Arabidopsis thaliana: one gene and its partner. The protein of the gene in region 1 interacts with the protein of each later gene in a biochemical or structural test. Each region holds a gene or a part of one and is shown on either strand. Other genes may lie near its edges.

Region 1 (10,130 bases):
ACAAGCGAGCTTCGTTTTTCATATCTTTACACGTCCCAACAAAATGGATTATATATAATATGAACGTACCGAAATTTTTTCTTCAAACTCCTATACAACATTGTTTACTCTCTCCTCTTTCAAGCTGAACTACCTAACTCCTATTGGGTTGAAGCACTTCCTATGAATGTCCACTTATTCCTTTCCTCTTCCTCAACTGGCAATGAAATATATTTTCTCTCGTCTCCCCATCTCATATAATCGTCCTAGGATTTTATTACTCTCTAGTTTTCCGATCCACTAAATGTGTTTATCCTACAAACCACAGTGGTTATGTTTGCTTATATTAAGAATCTGCCACATTTTCTTTTCCCGTTAGGTCACATTTGATGACCGTTCTCCTAACCCTCGGTTATGAACCATCTTCTCACTCTTACTTAACCCAAATATTACCCTTTTTTTGTTCTCCCCGATCCGCCAACTTTTCAATCTTTGAGCCTTGTATCTGCTCACATTCCCATCGATCATTCCTTGTTCTCCTATAATCTTAATTCAAAATGATCCTCTACTCCACCCTCACCTAGTCAGCCAAATGAAAACTCGGAGTTGCATGGAATCAACAACATACCCAACTTAATTTCAATGTATTCTTAAGTAAATTAAGAAGTTGAAAAGTAACCTTAAGCGTTTCTGTAGCACTCTAAGCTTTTTAATTGATGTAAAAGTTGTTTTGCAGATTTTTCTTCAGACTAGAGATTTAATTTACGGAATCTTCAGTTAGAGTCTTTTTTGGATTAAAAATGTGTTAAGACTTAAGAGGGTTTCTCTTAGGTTTGGAGAAGTTGGCTGGCCTGACAGAGACATTTAAACACAACAGTATAAATAAAGACTAAATATATATATAACGCCAGCTGAAAGGTATCTAGTATTTCCCAAAAAAACAAACAAAAAACAACAAGGCCTATCAGGGGTACTACAGTCATTTAAATATATACACAAGCTGAATGGTTCCCAAGTATGCTTGAACAAACCATAAGCAAAGATATGTTTTTAAGACCAGAGACCAAGAACATGAGGAAGATTTGCATTTTAATGTTTCCTGTCTGACTTATTCTTGTTTTCAATAGGAATGATCTCTCTTTCTCTTTCTCTGTCTCTGTCTCTCTCCCTCTCTTTGTATCCCTCTCCATCTGTTAATCCCTCTGCCTCAGTATCTGTTTCACAATGAACTAAAGAGAAAATTGTTTTGTTAGAGCTGGAGACAAAGATTTGATGAAGAGACTGATAAAACTCTGTTCTAAACCCTAGGCTTTAACATAAAACCTAACCTTTTGCAGTTCTAACTAATGTAAATGCAAAAAGAAACACTTAGTAAGGTGCAGATTTCTTTAAGTCATTGATTTCAGACGAACCAAGTAAATCCCAAAACTAAAGAATTAGAAACAGATAGTCCTAGCAACTTACCTGCACAAATCCCTCCCACACACATTGTATATCTTTAGGCATTTTGTGTAGGTGGACAAACCGGCTTCTTGGTCTGCTTCATTGCGTCCTGCTTACACACGGCTGGCTTTTTCTTGAAGGTTGTGCGTTTACGGACTTTCAGATGTTCACCCGTTAACATGTAAACATTCCCAGGTTCAGGAATGGTGAAATCAGCAGGGTTTCTATTGACGCTGCACACAATGGGTCCAGAACTGTTCTTCACAGGTCCCGCAGAGGCATTGTTATTGCAGCTCTCTGCTTTTCTCTTTTGTTTCTTTTCTTTATCCGTCATGTGAAATTTCAAAGGAAGCATCATGGAATTCGATGCTCCCAGCAGCTGGAACTTCGCTTGGTCGTTGCTGCTTGCAAACACCGGCTTTTCATGAGTATTGTAAACAGGAGCAAAGGTGTCTTTTCTCTTGGTTTTCTTCTCTTGATGATGAGGACTCCATGAAGCATTTTGAAATGAAAGTGAAGACGTCCCAATAGGTGGAGTGATGGGGAAACTCTTCCGGGAAGGCTCTTGTGTGAATCTCTTGCTGTATAGATCAAAAGGTATCTGCTTAGTTGAGTAGGCTGACTTACTAGAGTCCCCTGTTTGAAGCTCTATAAACTCTTTGGACTGGTTGGCTGGCGGAAAATGTCTTTTAGTAAATTTAGTGTTTCCGTGTTGGTCAGCGGGAGTCGTTGACCTCAGGCGAGGATCCAGAAGGCTGAGTAGATGCAATGCCGGTATAGAGCTCTCACTAGAAAAGTTATCTATTGGCCTACTACTACTACTACTAACCCCAGCAGCATGTTTGCAGCCAAATGAAAATTCTGGATTAGGCCCACATTTTTGCTTCCCGTTGGCAGCAACAAAGTTGAGGTTCCATGTATTTTCATTGTTAGATGCCTGTGAAAGCGTACCCGGATTTGTTGACTGATTAATATTTAAAGAAACTGGCTTGTATTGACTCTGTGGTGGTATCATGGAAGATGGCCAAATTGGATGAGAAGCTTCTCTGTATTGATTAGGAACACTCTGGCAAGTATCACAAGCACGTAATACCCGAAATGAGGATGGAGAAGGGTTCTGATTACCCACAGTTGGCAAATTCCCAAGCCACTGACAGTTGTGACCAGAAAACCGGATGGAGCTGGCTCGGTTTTCTTGGGTAGGAGGAAAGATCCCAAACGGAGAAGGCACATAAGGCTGACTTATTGGGAAGAAGTCATGAGAGTTCTGCTGTCTTCCCATAGGAAAATGTTCTTCCCTCCTTGCGTTGCTACTACACGGTTTTGGTGGTCTTGATGTGTTGTTGTCCTCAAGTGAGATCCCGTTATCGTAGGTTTCATTGAGATCAATCAGTAGAGCATTCTTGGATTTGTGTGCTGTTTCTTGTGATGGCTGTTTGTTGCTAACATCTTCTTCTTTGTCGGGAAGACACCTCTCGTACTGGTTTTTGGCCATGAGCTCCACTATCTCCATTGGAATATCATCGTTGTTTTGCTCTTCAGTCGTAGTCTCCTTTCTATCGTGACTTTGGCTTCTTGGTGCTCCATGATGTTCTTGGACCATAACAGTCTTCCCCTTTCTATCTGCACCAGAAGCATCCTGCCAAGTAAATCAATCCCGTTATCATCCTGATCCAATCACTGAAGCACACCAGTTTGGAATATACAAGAATAGGTGCAAGTTGGAAAACAGAATGAGAAAGCATGGCGATTGAAGAAAAATAGATGCAAAGCTTGTACCTTTTGCAGCACCCGAGATAAATCCGCAACTTCAGTAGAAGAAGGGGGGTATCTTAGCTTCAAGTTCGAGAAAGACGATCTGTTTGTATTGTGGTTGTTGTTTCTGAAGTCAACAATATCTACTCCAGTTCTCAACCATCCACCTGAGCTGGATTTAGAAGAGGAACTAAAATCTCGAAGACAGTTTGGTTCCGCGTCTCTTGACCTCACATAATCATTGTCTTGCAAATGCAAAGATGTTATCGGCTTATCATTAACCTGAGAGAGATATTTTCTGAAATATCCATCTGAAGCCAAACGGTTGTCAAATAAACCGCCCACCCTTTTCCCATTCAATAAGTCTCGAGTTTGGGATACTGTGTTCATGGAAGGACCAGTATGCGAGTTAACTTGACTTCCATCAATGCCGTTACTAAAACTGATCACAGTGCTCTTCCCATTATCGATTACAGGCTTCTTTGTCTTCTTCTTGGGTAAACTGAGCTTCCTCTCTGTTCTCTGAGTACCCGGAGGACAAGGAACAGAATCGTTTCCAGTGAATAAAGAGTGCGCAGGAGTTGATCTCTTACTAGGATCTGCATCATGCTCCTTGATACCTTCTTGTGAAGTTTCACAAGGAAGTGATGGTACAAACTCGTCAACAACCTGAAATCTTCTGTTTCTCTGCTTACCCTTAAATGGAGTTCTGTCAAACCCACTATCAGTTGATTCACTATTACCTTGATCAGAGTCACAACTTTTGGAAGCATTTTCAGAGGTTGCACCCATTGTACTCAATATCCGGCTGACATAATTGTTTTCAGGTAACAACTTTCTTTTTCGACCTCTAACTGATTCCTTCTTCAAAGCAGACTCTTCTTTTCTGATGTTACTACCACCACTGGTTTTTGTATTACCAAGCAACTCACTGAGTAGACGAACCTTGCGAGATTTCCTACGCTGCAACCCACTCATAGCAAGATTTATACTTTCTGATGACCCGTTATCGCATTCCATCAGACCGCGAATGCCTTTATGATTCTTGGTTGCCTTAGGTGGTGTATCCTCAACCACACCAGCAATTTCAGATGAGCCGAACGTTGTCACAGCCTGATCCACATTTTGTTTCTCTTTCCAGCTGCTAATATCCATCGATGGTTTGTTTAGTTTTTCTTTAGATCTGTTGTTTCCTACCTGCTCCGGACTCACAAGCTTTCTGCTCTTGCTCCTAACATTAGAAGCACCCATAGGTCGACCACGTGCTTTCTTGAGAAACGTAGTAGCTGCAGTTGTTGAAGCTTTAAGAAATTAGTATTCCGCATCATGAGATCATCAGAGAAAACATAATTTGCTTGACCAGAGAAAACTTTACCTGTCTGATCATCATTCTCACAGTTTACACCCACTTTCTCCTCAATAGCATTATCTGAAAAACATGATAATACAAAATGATTAAGATTTTGCTATGGATTATGAAACTGAACCAAGACTCAGCAGATGCATACCTGCAATATCAGTTTTCTTTTCTTTCTCGTGATCAATGATAGTTAGCGAATTGAACTTGCTTTTACTTTCGATAACAGAAGAGTTTCCAATAGCTTTTGAGTTTGAATGCAGTCCACAATCTGCAAGCAACTCAAAATGCATAAGTTCAAGTAGACACGTCTTTAGACACATAAAAAACAATATTGGAAATGTGATATACCTTTTGGCCCATGAGCATCTATATCTTTGATGCAGCTCATACAATGCCACCATCTAAACTTTGGAACAGATAAAGTAGGAAGAGTATAGCTTTGTTGGTCTACTAAACTAACACTCTCTTCTGAAAACGGCCAACATTTTCTAAGGTCTCTCTCACGAGTTTCAGCTACGAATCCACTGCAGAGAAGAAAAACTGGTTATTCATGTCATTTCATCTTGTAGCTTGCTACTATATAAACATACTCTAGCAAGAGAGGTTGATGATATAAGGTCAACAAACTATACTCACCGCATGGAAAAATGATCACATTTCACCATATCAATCTCGTTGGCAGCACCTGCGAGATCTATGGATATTGAGTTGATCTTGATGGAAGATCCCATTGATTTGCTTGAAGGAGATAGATACTATGCCTCAGTGATGATTAACTTTCATACACCATTATACTCTCTCCGCAACTAGAGCTACAAAAGCAACACATCAAAACAAGTTATATAACACATCGTATAATTGTGCTTAATGATCACATTATTGTTGTATATCAAGACATAAATCTTAACTTTCCATATATACGACACCAAATATAACTCTAAATTTATTCAAGCAATAAATATAACTAATCTATAACATAGTGTTAAAGCATTTCACATGAATATCCCACATAAAATAACATTCATAACCAACATCAAACTTCACAATTACACGGCAAATAAAAAAAAATTAAACCCTAAGGTCTACATAAAATCAAGAATGAAATTCTATACTAGCATCTCAATTCAATTACGCTAATATAACAAAAAATTAATCGTGCAAGTGAATTTTATACATTTAACAATTAACATGTAAGTAAACCTAAACTTAGACGACCTAAAATTAGGGTTTTTCAGACAGACGAGAAACCCCAAAGCTGTAACCTTATCTACATGACCAGCAAAAGAAAAAAGAAGATCGGACCAGATTCAATATAATTTCGGAATTACAAAACCCAAGAAAGGTCAAATTATTAATCAGCGTAATTTAGGGTTTAAAATCAAAATTAGAACAAAATTAAAAGATAATAAACCACTTAAATTAACCGTATGTGATTAACAAAGATTAACCAAGACCCACCAATTAATACGGGTCAGATCTATCCGCACGTGAATAGTCCGTGAAGACGAAACCCCAAAAAAAAAAAAAAAAAAAAAAAGTAAGAACATCAAGAGTTTCCGAGGAAGATAGACGTATAAATGAACAGTGAAGCTTAAAAGACACGAAGTCAGCTACAAGTCAGACCAAATCTCAACCCAACAAGATCAAACCTTAGCTCAAACCTTAAATCGAAACACATCTGAGATTCATGTCGGAAACAACGCACCTGGGTTAATCCGACCAGAAATTAGGGATTAAAAGGGGTTGCGAGATTCGAGCTCGATCTTAAGCGGCAAGGGATAAAAACTATATCGGTAGATTGAGAAAGCTACGGAGAAGAAGATTAGATGAGCTTGAAGGATGGATTCGTCGGGAGATGAGTAGAATTTGACTGCGAATTTTCGAGAAACCCTAAGACGAAAGGGGAGGGAGAGAGAAAGGGGGACTTTTTTTTTTTTCCTATGGCTTGTAGAGAGAGACTGTTGGAGAAAGGAGAGGAGAGAGAAAGTGGAGCTCTCTTATCCTTGAAATGAGGGTTTTTTTTTTGTTTGGCTTTGCGTCGATATAAGGGTTTTAATTTCAATAAAATAATCTTTTTATTAATTTATTGTAATAATTTTATATTAAAAAAAGAACAACTCATCTATGGAACATGACAATGCCATGTCACCATCTGGTCTGCCTATTTCCAATTACACGAAACAAAGTTACGTATCTTTTTACTTCTATTGTGTACACGTATCTGTATTTGTACATCTCTGTATCTGTTCTTTGTATCTCTGTATCTGTCAAAAGTGAATAAAAGGAGAAAATTTTATGCATATGTTTAGTTAAGAAAGAAATCTGAGCATTAGTAGAAAATAGCTGGCTTAGGGGAACAGTATCCAGAAATTAAACAACAAGATTAAGTAAAAGATCTCAGTGTTTTTCTTTATATTAGGAAAGAACCCGATTTTTATTTAAATCGTATTAGACGTTTTTGTGTGTGATAGGATGGGGCACAAGAAACCAATGAGAATTAACCACGTGGCCGCAATGTGCGGTTCTTATCACAACCCATTTTTCACTTGTGTCCTGATGAAAAGAAAACCCTAGGCGCGTGGATGTCACGGCGTTTACTTTTCGCGTGTGGGCACGTTTCGTCCGTGGCGCGGAGAGGTAAGGAGCGTCGGCACATACGAAGGGGAGACATTGGAGCGTGTTGTTCACGCGAAGGGAAGAGAGAGTGGAGGAATTGAGGGACCAGTGAGATAAATAAAAGCCCTAAAAGCATGATAAAATTGTATGGGTAGGTGATGTTACCCTAGATGAGCCCATTTCCCCAATAAATGAATTATATATACATATATTAACCCTAACACTCTTTTTTCCCTTTCCAAAGTTTACCACAGTAAAAGTGTTAAAAAAAGTCTGGTTCACATAACCCTATTTAGTTTTTTTCTTAAAATATAATACAATAATCCTTAATTATTGTTATTGTACATGTACTATATAGATGTATTTTTTAATATTGGCTTCTGTTTTTTCGGTGGTAGAATCATCACATGGTACACCAACCTAATGGGATACCTATGATGTAAGCAAAGTTTAACAACAAAAAAAAACTTTGTTTTTCTTTAGACCTTTTGCATATTCGATATTTGATAAAGCAATTAATTGGATGTTGACTCTACTTTCGGAATTAACAATAATACGATTAGATAACTAATACAAATCTAGATTCGGGATTTAACTGTTCGACAGCGATTGTGTGTGTGTTTTTTTTCTTTACGTGGCTCTGTACGTACGTGTTGATACATATTAGAAGTAAGTATCGTTAAGTTGTGTTAACTATTATACAAATGTATAAGAATACTAAACCTTAGTGAAAATAAATTACTAGATCAAGTAAATTTTATATATTGCCTCGAAGAAAATAATAGTATACAGTTAGATAAGTGAATGACCTTTAGTGGGCTTTATCCTTTATAACACATTTCTCTCTCCTTGTTCCTGTATTTTTTAATAATATTCTTTCTTCGGTAAATTGTTTTTTTTTTTCTTAGTTTTTGTCGGCTTCGAGGTTTTATGATATAATTCTTTCCAGAGAAATTTAGGTTTGTTACTTTAGTCTATTTTAGGGGAAAAATATAATCTCCTTTTTTCTTCCCACTGCCATATATGTGATTTACTTTTGCCCCATAAGATCATTTTTTCTTGTTTGGCGCAATTAATTACGGGTTTGACAAATTGTGATGTATATACCAAAACGTGTTAATGATCCACTTTGAATTTTGGATGCATTATTTACTTTTATCACGAAAATAGCACACTATATACACCCCTCTAAAATTTCTAGATAATATTCATAATTTAATACCCAACTTTATGGAAAAGGAATTGAGCACATATTCGTAATGATCTTATCTTTTTGTATAAGATATATTAAGGGCGGAACGGAACCTATCTTCAACCAACCTAACATTTTTTCTCGACCGTATAAATCAAGATTCACATAGTTTTGAATATTATCTTCAAACGTATTTGTAACTCAAAAAAAGGAGATTATATTTATATATATATATATAAATTAATTGATACACTTTTAGGTCTGCATACGTGCACAACTGCACATAAGTAAGGTATATTACACAAGTTGATTAACACATTAGTATATAAATATATGTATGCAAAATATAGAGAGAGAAAGAGTGAAGCGGTAGCAAAGGGGAAATAAAAAAAGAGGACTTAAGATGAAAAAGGACAGCTTTAAGGAGATGCTTTGGCCACCAGCGATACCATCATTTAAGCTTTGCATGTGCCTCTCTGTTAGCATCTCGACAACCACATCAACCTTCTCTCTCTCTCCCCTTTTTAACTCTTGGATTTTTACTTCTTACACACACCCCAACATCATCATATCTATTTATTCATGTATTTATATGCTTATATACTCACTTTCATGCATCGATGTGTATCATTCATTATATTATGTTACAAATTCCTTTGAGTTCGTTTGATCTCCGTTATAAAAATACTTAATTTTCAACTCATAACTTCAGTTGGGAACCACAATCGTTTGGCTTTAATTGTTGATACGTCCATTAGATGATAACTTATCTCACTTGGTTAACCATTTTTTATTTGTTAAATTAACCTAAGTTCTCTATTAGATGTATCTATTATCAGCGATTATTTAATAACCCGATGAACCTAATGTTGGAACCTTGGAAGTCTTTTTATTCATCGACAACAAAATATTAGATTTTACCCAAAAAAAAAAAATGTTAGATACATTCTGTGAAGAAAGCTCACTTGATGTTTATTTTGGAAAATTAATTAGTTCTGAATCAATACTAATGACCTATATATGTTTTCACATATACATCAACGATTGATTCTAAAGCTAAAACAACAGTATATCGAATATCTGAAGTTTCGTAATTATAAAGAAGTGTTAGATGATAAGAGTTTCTTCAGCTTAAGGGTGAACACCAGATACGAAGAGATCACTTTAGAGGCAGACTTGAAAATAAAAATGCTCATTAATCAAGTAAGAGTGGTAATATTGCCTGTTGATTTGCTTCGTGGGCCATATAAAGACTATTCAGATATTGGAAAAACACGTATTTAATTATACACGCATTCTCTGTGGGCCATTGAAATTCCTTATAAGCATTCGAGCTAGATAGAAAATATAATGGGTGTGATACGTTTAGACACCCAGGTTGCGTACGGTTCACTATGTTGAAATGTGTTAGCTGCTAGACGAAACACTTATCAACGATATGTTTGGTTCTCGAGATGGTCCACACATTAATCTGTTTGTATATCAATTAAATTCATAGTTTTCGATCCATATGATCTCACTAAACTCATCGCCAACCTCTAAATTTCTTTTCCGGAAATGAGGACTGTGACTTTAATTATTGCATTCTGTTTTAAAAGAAACATAAACGCCAAACGCAAAGCAAACGATATGTACTCGTTCGTGCTTGGCTTTTTGTGTTGAAGATTTACCAGTTAATTTTGATTAGATGCTAAAGAAAGATTGTTAATTTCACATAACGAAAAAATGCACAAACATGTGTAAGCATAAAAACCAACCGGAAACAAATATATAATAGAACTTCAA
Region 2 (6,212 bases), on another chromosome or scaffold:
TACACAGATACAAAAACACTCCTACATGTACACCTCTAATGAAATTTAAGGAAAAGAGGGAAAAAAACAACTTTGACTTCACTTCCTACTATGCGTTCCCACAAAAATCAAATCAATTTTACAGTTAGAGGAGTTATGACTAAGAACCAATTGTCGACTAGCAAATAATTAAACTGATACTCTGAGAAAAATTGAGCGTGCAACAAAAGAAGACACTGTAGAACTAGGAGCAGTCAACAAAGAAAGAAAGACTCAGTGACTTACGCCCCATCCGATCAGGTGCAAAATCTACCAATGAGCCAAATGGGTACCCTTCCCTGCGGTGGTGCATTTTGGACATCACTGTGCACAGATGAGCAAACCTAGCCTTGAATCATAAAAACACAAGACAAGACAGATAAAGAACTTAAATAATCTTTTCTCATTGAAGTAAAAAAGGAAGAATACAAACCATCTAAAGGACAAACCCTTTTACCTGTTCCAACAAGTTCCGTACAGCTAAAGCAGGCCGAGGTAAAGCATGAGCTGATGTAGCATTTTGAACACCACCAGATATTGGAGTTCTAAAAAGCCCAGCTCGATTTCCTCCACCACCTTGAGGATGTGCAAGAGATGCCTCCACATCGATTACACTATGAGAAGTTTCACCATTGCTATTACTCCCGAGCTTTTCCTTCACACAACATTACAAGCTATTAATCTCTATGTCAAAGCAAACCATTACGTGGTATCATCTTTCCGCTAATCTAAGATTCGATTCTACACAAACTCTGCATCAAAACCAAAGTTTTGTGTCCAAAATTGTAATCTTTTGCTGAATTTTTGCATACCCAAAACAAAAGTTATAATCTTTAGTTGAATTTATTCATCACAAGACAAGAGAAAAAGTACCTGTGATAAAGAGAAGATATCCCCAGGAAAAAAACCAAACCCATTATTATCTTCACCTTCACTTGGCGTCTCGTTACGTAAGAGAGCTTGTATACGAAGCCCGTGACTTGATCCATTACTGAGTCTCAGCTTCGGGAATTGCGTTTTGGGTAGCGAATTACAAAACCAACACGAAGACTGGGAAGAAGTGGGCAGCGGAGATTTGAGGAGAGGCTTAGTCTGTAAATTGGGTGTGTGTGTTGAAGTGAAGAGAGCTTCCATGGTGGATGAGAATAAGATTTTGGTTGAAGAGTCTTCTGATCTTTCACTATAGGCAGATGCTTCAGGCGTCTTTGTTGAAAGTAGCTTTAGGAATTAGGACTTTTCCAGAGTAGGGTTTGTATAACACACACATACATATAAGGGTTTTTCTTTTTCTTTTGGCTTTTTTTTTATAGTTGGATTACGATTACTTTTGTCCTTAGGAATTACTTTTGATGTATTTTCTATTCTCTTTTGTTTTGTTTTGATGTTGATAATAACGAATTTTCCTTGAAATAAGAAAATCAGTTTCTTTTCAATTTACAATTTTTATTGATAATAACATAATATTCTAAGAAATTATCTTTGTTTAAAAAAATTGGGAAAGAAAAGATTTCAATTTCATCTCAAAAGAACCTGATAATGACTATTGGATTACCATTATTCCGTTTCTAAAATCTTCTTACTGTTGATTAAAAAAATTAAATCTCCTCTAAAGAAATATCTATCATCTCAATTGGTTCAGACCATTTTTAGTTTACGTTGAAAAGAAAGATCAAACAGATCAATGACACAAACTATAATTAAGGCACTAAACACTAAATGTCCTAATTTGCATAATGCGGGACCCATGTCAATAATATTTCTCAAACGTTGTCGTTTTCAGCCCATCCTTCCTCCGAATCCACGCGCCACCGTCTAAGCTGCTGCGTCATTGCACGCGCCAATTTGCTTTCAACCGCTCGAATCATCCCAGCTGAAACTCCAGTCACATCTTCTACTTTCTTTAAATTCTGCCACGTCGTCGTGTTCTTAACGCCGAACCAAAACGCCGCCGCTAAGAACACTCTCTTCGTCGCTCTTGGCCTCGTCTCCACAGCCAAAGCCAAAGACGCATATGAAACGACAGCGTTTGTTAAATCCCTGTTTAGTCCTAACTTACCACACCAATTTACAAAAATGCCATCCGCCACCGTAACCGCAACGGCCTTGGCATTCACTCTGTTTTCCCTCCCTCGCGCTCTGTTTACGTCACGCGTCGTTGACGATAGCTCGGAGCTTGAGACACAGTCAAGAGACGAGCAGCAAGAAGAAGACGACGATTCTGAACAACATGTTGTTCGTGGAGGCCAAGGAAGAAGAGGACCAGAAACGAAATTTTGAGTAAGAGATTTGCAATTTGGGCAGATGACACGCCGGAAATGACGAGCGAAGAGAAAATTTGAGGCATGGAACTTAGCGTCACAAGAACGGCAGAGGAAGGCAGAGTCCGCGGCACAATGGAGATCAGCTTCGGCACCACAAAGCTCGCAAAAGCTCACCATTGAGTCGATCTCTCTGATCACCAGAAAGAAGTGAGAGAGAATTGGTTTGGAATGATGATGGTGGGAAGAGAGATTTAAGGAAGAGATGTAAATGATTGAGGGAGAGAAAGAGCGGTGGAGTTTTTATGGTTCATGGTTGATGAGAGTAGTCTCTTCCACAGTTCACACATCAAAGAAACTTACATGAGCCATAATTTTTTAGGGAAATGAAATGAATGGTGTTTGTAGAATTGGAGAGAATGACGTGTCGTGAGGTTTTGAGGCTGGTGAGATTATGTGGTCATTTTTAAAACTATTACACTAGCCGCCAAGTCATTCGTCTTCCTTTTGGTGTGACGTGGAGATTTAGTCAACACTAATGTCTTTTCAGAGACTTGGTCTCATTGCAAATTGCTTCTTCTTCTTTTCTTGGTTGCTTCCATTACATTTCTTCTGCATTGTTGCAGTCTTTTATATAAACTTTTATACATTGATCTTTTGTCGAATACAAAACAGAAGATAATACTCTTAATTTATAATCTAAGGAGTAAGGATACAAAACACAAGGTGTAAACTGTGGTGAACCTGTTTGGGTTCTGATCCCAACTAGTACAACAATAGTCTATATCTTGAAATCTTTCCAAAAATGGTTTCTTAAATAAAAGGGTCTTTGAATAGCCAAGCTAAATCCAATTGCTCTGTTAAGATATATCCATAGAGCCCCTCCTACGAATCACACTGTGACCTCTCCAGGGAGTTTTACTTCTTTGTTATCCGACCATAATGCCTCTGGCGTATTCTAAATGCCGGTTTTCGTAGCAGTACTTTGTTGGATTGTTTGAGATTTACCTGATCGTTTCGAGACTTAATCTTAAGTGGATGAGCTTCGGTGTTGAATACCCACTCGTCTAAAGGAATGACTGTTGTCGGCGAGAAGAGTAGATAGAGATACTTGAGTGTCTCTGCAAGGAAGAAACTTTGCATCTTGTTGTCCTTAACGCCTGTATTAACCTGGAAATGATTGAAAGAAATAAGAATCTACCATCAGTTACACTCAATTACTAATATAGATGGTGGAATGATATAATTCAATTCACCAAGGTTTTAACAATGCAGGATCTAATTAAGCGCCTACGGAAAACTTACATCCTTCAAACCAACATATCCAGACTCTATGCGCGAGTTCTTCTCAAATGCTTCAAATATATTCCATCCCCACTCTTGATATGTCTTGTTTCCAGTTAACCGCCAGAGGTAAAACAGTGATTCGACAGTTTCTGGTCTCAAGATGTTCCACGACGTTCCAACACTCATGTCCTGAATCATCATGTATACTAAACAATAAATAACGCATAAAATAAACAATGTGTTTGAAAAAGACAGGCAAATGACATACACTCCCAGAGTTGAAGAAATAATTCTCCCCAGCCAGTTTTGTTGGAGTTGATTGGTAAAAGTTATAACATGTCCACGCAAGCTGCAAAATATGTGGAAAATAGCAATAAAGGCTATATCTCAGCAGCCTAAATCAGAAAAGCAGAGAGCGAAAAATTCGAAAGATCTGAAGCACTTACGACGCTATGATCAAAGATCATTCAAGTCATAAGTTTACCTCTTCAGCGAGTGTGAGAAACTTCTTTCCTTCAGCAGGATCACTATACCCAGATGCTCCTAAAGCCAACATTCCAGGAGCAAAGCATGCCAATTCATCCATCTTAATATATATGAGAAATAATGAGATTGGAAATGCCAGGCGATGAAGAATTTTCACGTAATACAATGGAAACAATGAACAGATGGGTTTACCTTATCGATCAAAGAATTTCCACTCTTCTCACAGATATATGTAAACGACAAAGGTGTTGATTTCTTAACCAAGCTTAGCAGACCATTCATTGACTTCTCCCACATATCTCTGATGCCAAGATGTCAAGTAATAACAGTACAAATTATTATTGTTCGGCTAAAGATGTTGAAACTAAAAGACCAGAAAAGAAAAGAAGAACATAGATATCAAGCAGAAAGATAAATGTGATGGCAGCTGGTTGAACTTAGCGGACTTGAATCAATCAGACATATATACACTCAGTAGACTAGAGTTAAACTTACCTATAGTGTTTCACTGCTGAAGTTTTGTTCCCAAACACCCAAACTTTGAGCAAATATTCGTAAAAGCTGTACACAAAATATTAGCCGTCACAAATCAAACCAAAGCAGAACCAGAAGGGATCAGACTAGCAGTAATATAAAATGCAATCAAGTTGGAAAAACACCTGTCTCCCATGGCACCAAATGTTATTGTAGACTGCGATGGATTAGCTGTATCGGGATTTATATATATCGGAAGTAAACCATCAGCAGGGAAGTTCTTATTTAGCACTGAAATAACCTTTTCTACCTGAGACACGAGTTAACAGGTCAACCATTGAGGTGCAATTTGTTTACACCGAATTATGACAACATGCATCCAGACATTTTGCCAACTTTAATACCTAATCAGTATATAATACAACAGAATAAGCTAAGAAATATGTATTCCATTCACTGGTTTATAGATATAACAAATTCGCTGATAAGCAGATGGATATGTAATAAGTCAGCAGTGCTACAAGTTACGGAGAGTAATTGCACCTTTTGCTGATATTTTGGGTCCCCTGTCCTCTGGGAAAGGGCAATAAATTCAAGCTGCTCAGTACCAGAATCTGCAAGAATACTGTCTCCCTAAAACAAGAAAGAAGTAAACAATCAACTAAACCGAAAGACATATGTAAATAGATCAGATGGTACCCATTCCACATTAAACATGAGCTTGCTAGTGAAACAATACCTAGTTGATAAAGAATCTTTACTTTCATCATGATCTTTACAACTAAACTCTAAAACAGTGTAGACACAAACAGAATACTAATTGTCACATAACTTGAAAAACAGAACAGTTCGTTCCTGGCGAGCCCTGAAACATCTAAGAAAACGACTGGAACTTAAATCTCAATTTTTCAGTGGCCTCTTAGGAGCTCCTTTAGAAACATGTTCAGGACCCTAGTGGCGACTATCTCGATAAAGTTTTGCACGCATATGAAAATCTGGGCGAGAAAAGAAGAGAAAATGTATATCCAATGCCTAAAGCTTTGAAAAGATCGACAAGGAATATGACAGATAGGACTTACCCCCGCCCATGTAGGATTGTGAGCATTTCCATGCTTCAAGTTGATAATATTATATGGTATACCCGATTGAGTGTCCCATGCAGGCAATAATCTGTCTGCAATATCCATAGCCTTTTCAAGGAAAATTTTATCCCCAGAAAGATCATACGCACTGAGAAGCCCTCCTACCACTCTGAAAGCCAACAAAGAGAAAATATATAAGCACAGATGCCACACTTCCATACCACATATTTTGTTAACTACACACAACAGATAACCTAAACAAGATGACTCTTCTTAGTACATGTAGAAAAAAAACATGGTAAACCTGTTAAATGCAACCTTATGGTTGTCTCAAACATACTGGCAGCATAATCCTTGTCGAAATCTAATGAGCTTGCTACCCACCTGAAAATGAAAGACAATAAGTAAATGAAGGCTGGGAAAGATGAACAGGAAAAGTTGGGAATCGAACTTCAGTTAATGGAGAAGAAAACAATATTATTTATAGGAGGTTGCAGTTTTAGCCAGAAATATTTAATGTTTTCTATATAATCTTGAAACAGTTTAAAAGTGAACATTGCACAACAGATACATTACAAAGACGATTCAATAGCCTTTTCCATTTCAT

What was found. The genes of interacting proteins can lie anywhere in the genome.
Region 2: the proteins of EMF1 (region 1) and BBX32 form a complex in vitro, tested with the Arabidopsis thaliana proteins (one study listed by BioGRID).

Annotation. Positions count from the first base shown.
Region 1 is NC_003076.8:3,692,278-3,702,407, reverse strand, and holds EMF1 (embryonic flower 1 (EMF1)), read right to left. Parts: upstream 6,617-10,130; 5' UTR 6,243-6,616; exon of another isoform or gene 5,996-6,242; intron 5,350-5,995; 5' UTR 5,269-5,349; coding exon 5,174-5,268; intron 5,062-5,173; coding exon 4,886-5,061; intron 4,806-4,885; coding exon 4,686-4,805; intron 4,607-4,685; coding exon 4,553-4,606; intron 4,464-4,552; coding exon 3,202-4,463; intron 3,062-3,201; coding exon 1,478-3,061; 3' UTR 1,444-1,477; exon of another isoform or gene 1,209-1,443; 3' UTR 859-1,208; downstream 1-858. UniProt on the Arabidopsis thaliana protein: Transcription repressor that regulates phase transition during shoot, flower and seeds development. Controls leaves development, shoot architecture and flowering by delaying both the vegetative to reproductive transition and flower initiation.
Region 2 is NC_003074.8:7,410,935-7,417,146, forward strand, and holds BBX32 (B-box 32), read right to left. Parts: upstream 2,794-6,212; 5' UTR 2,457-2,793; coding exon 1,779-2,456; 3' UTR 1,511-1,778; downstream 1-1,510. Other genes in the region: AT3G21140 (Pyridoxamine 5'-phosphate oxidase family protein), read right to left, coding at 265-367, 476-673, 892-1,152; MNS2 (alpha-mannosidase 2), read right to left, coding at 3,195-3,446, 3,582-3,752, 3,832-3,912, 4,048-4,149, 4,242-4,350, 4,545-4,610, 4,709-4,833, 5,067-5,156 and 2 more.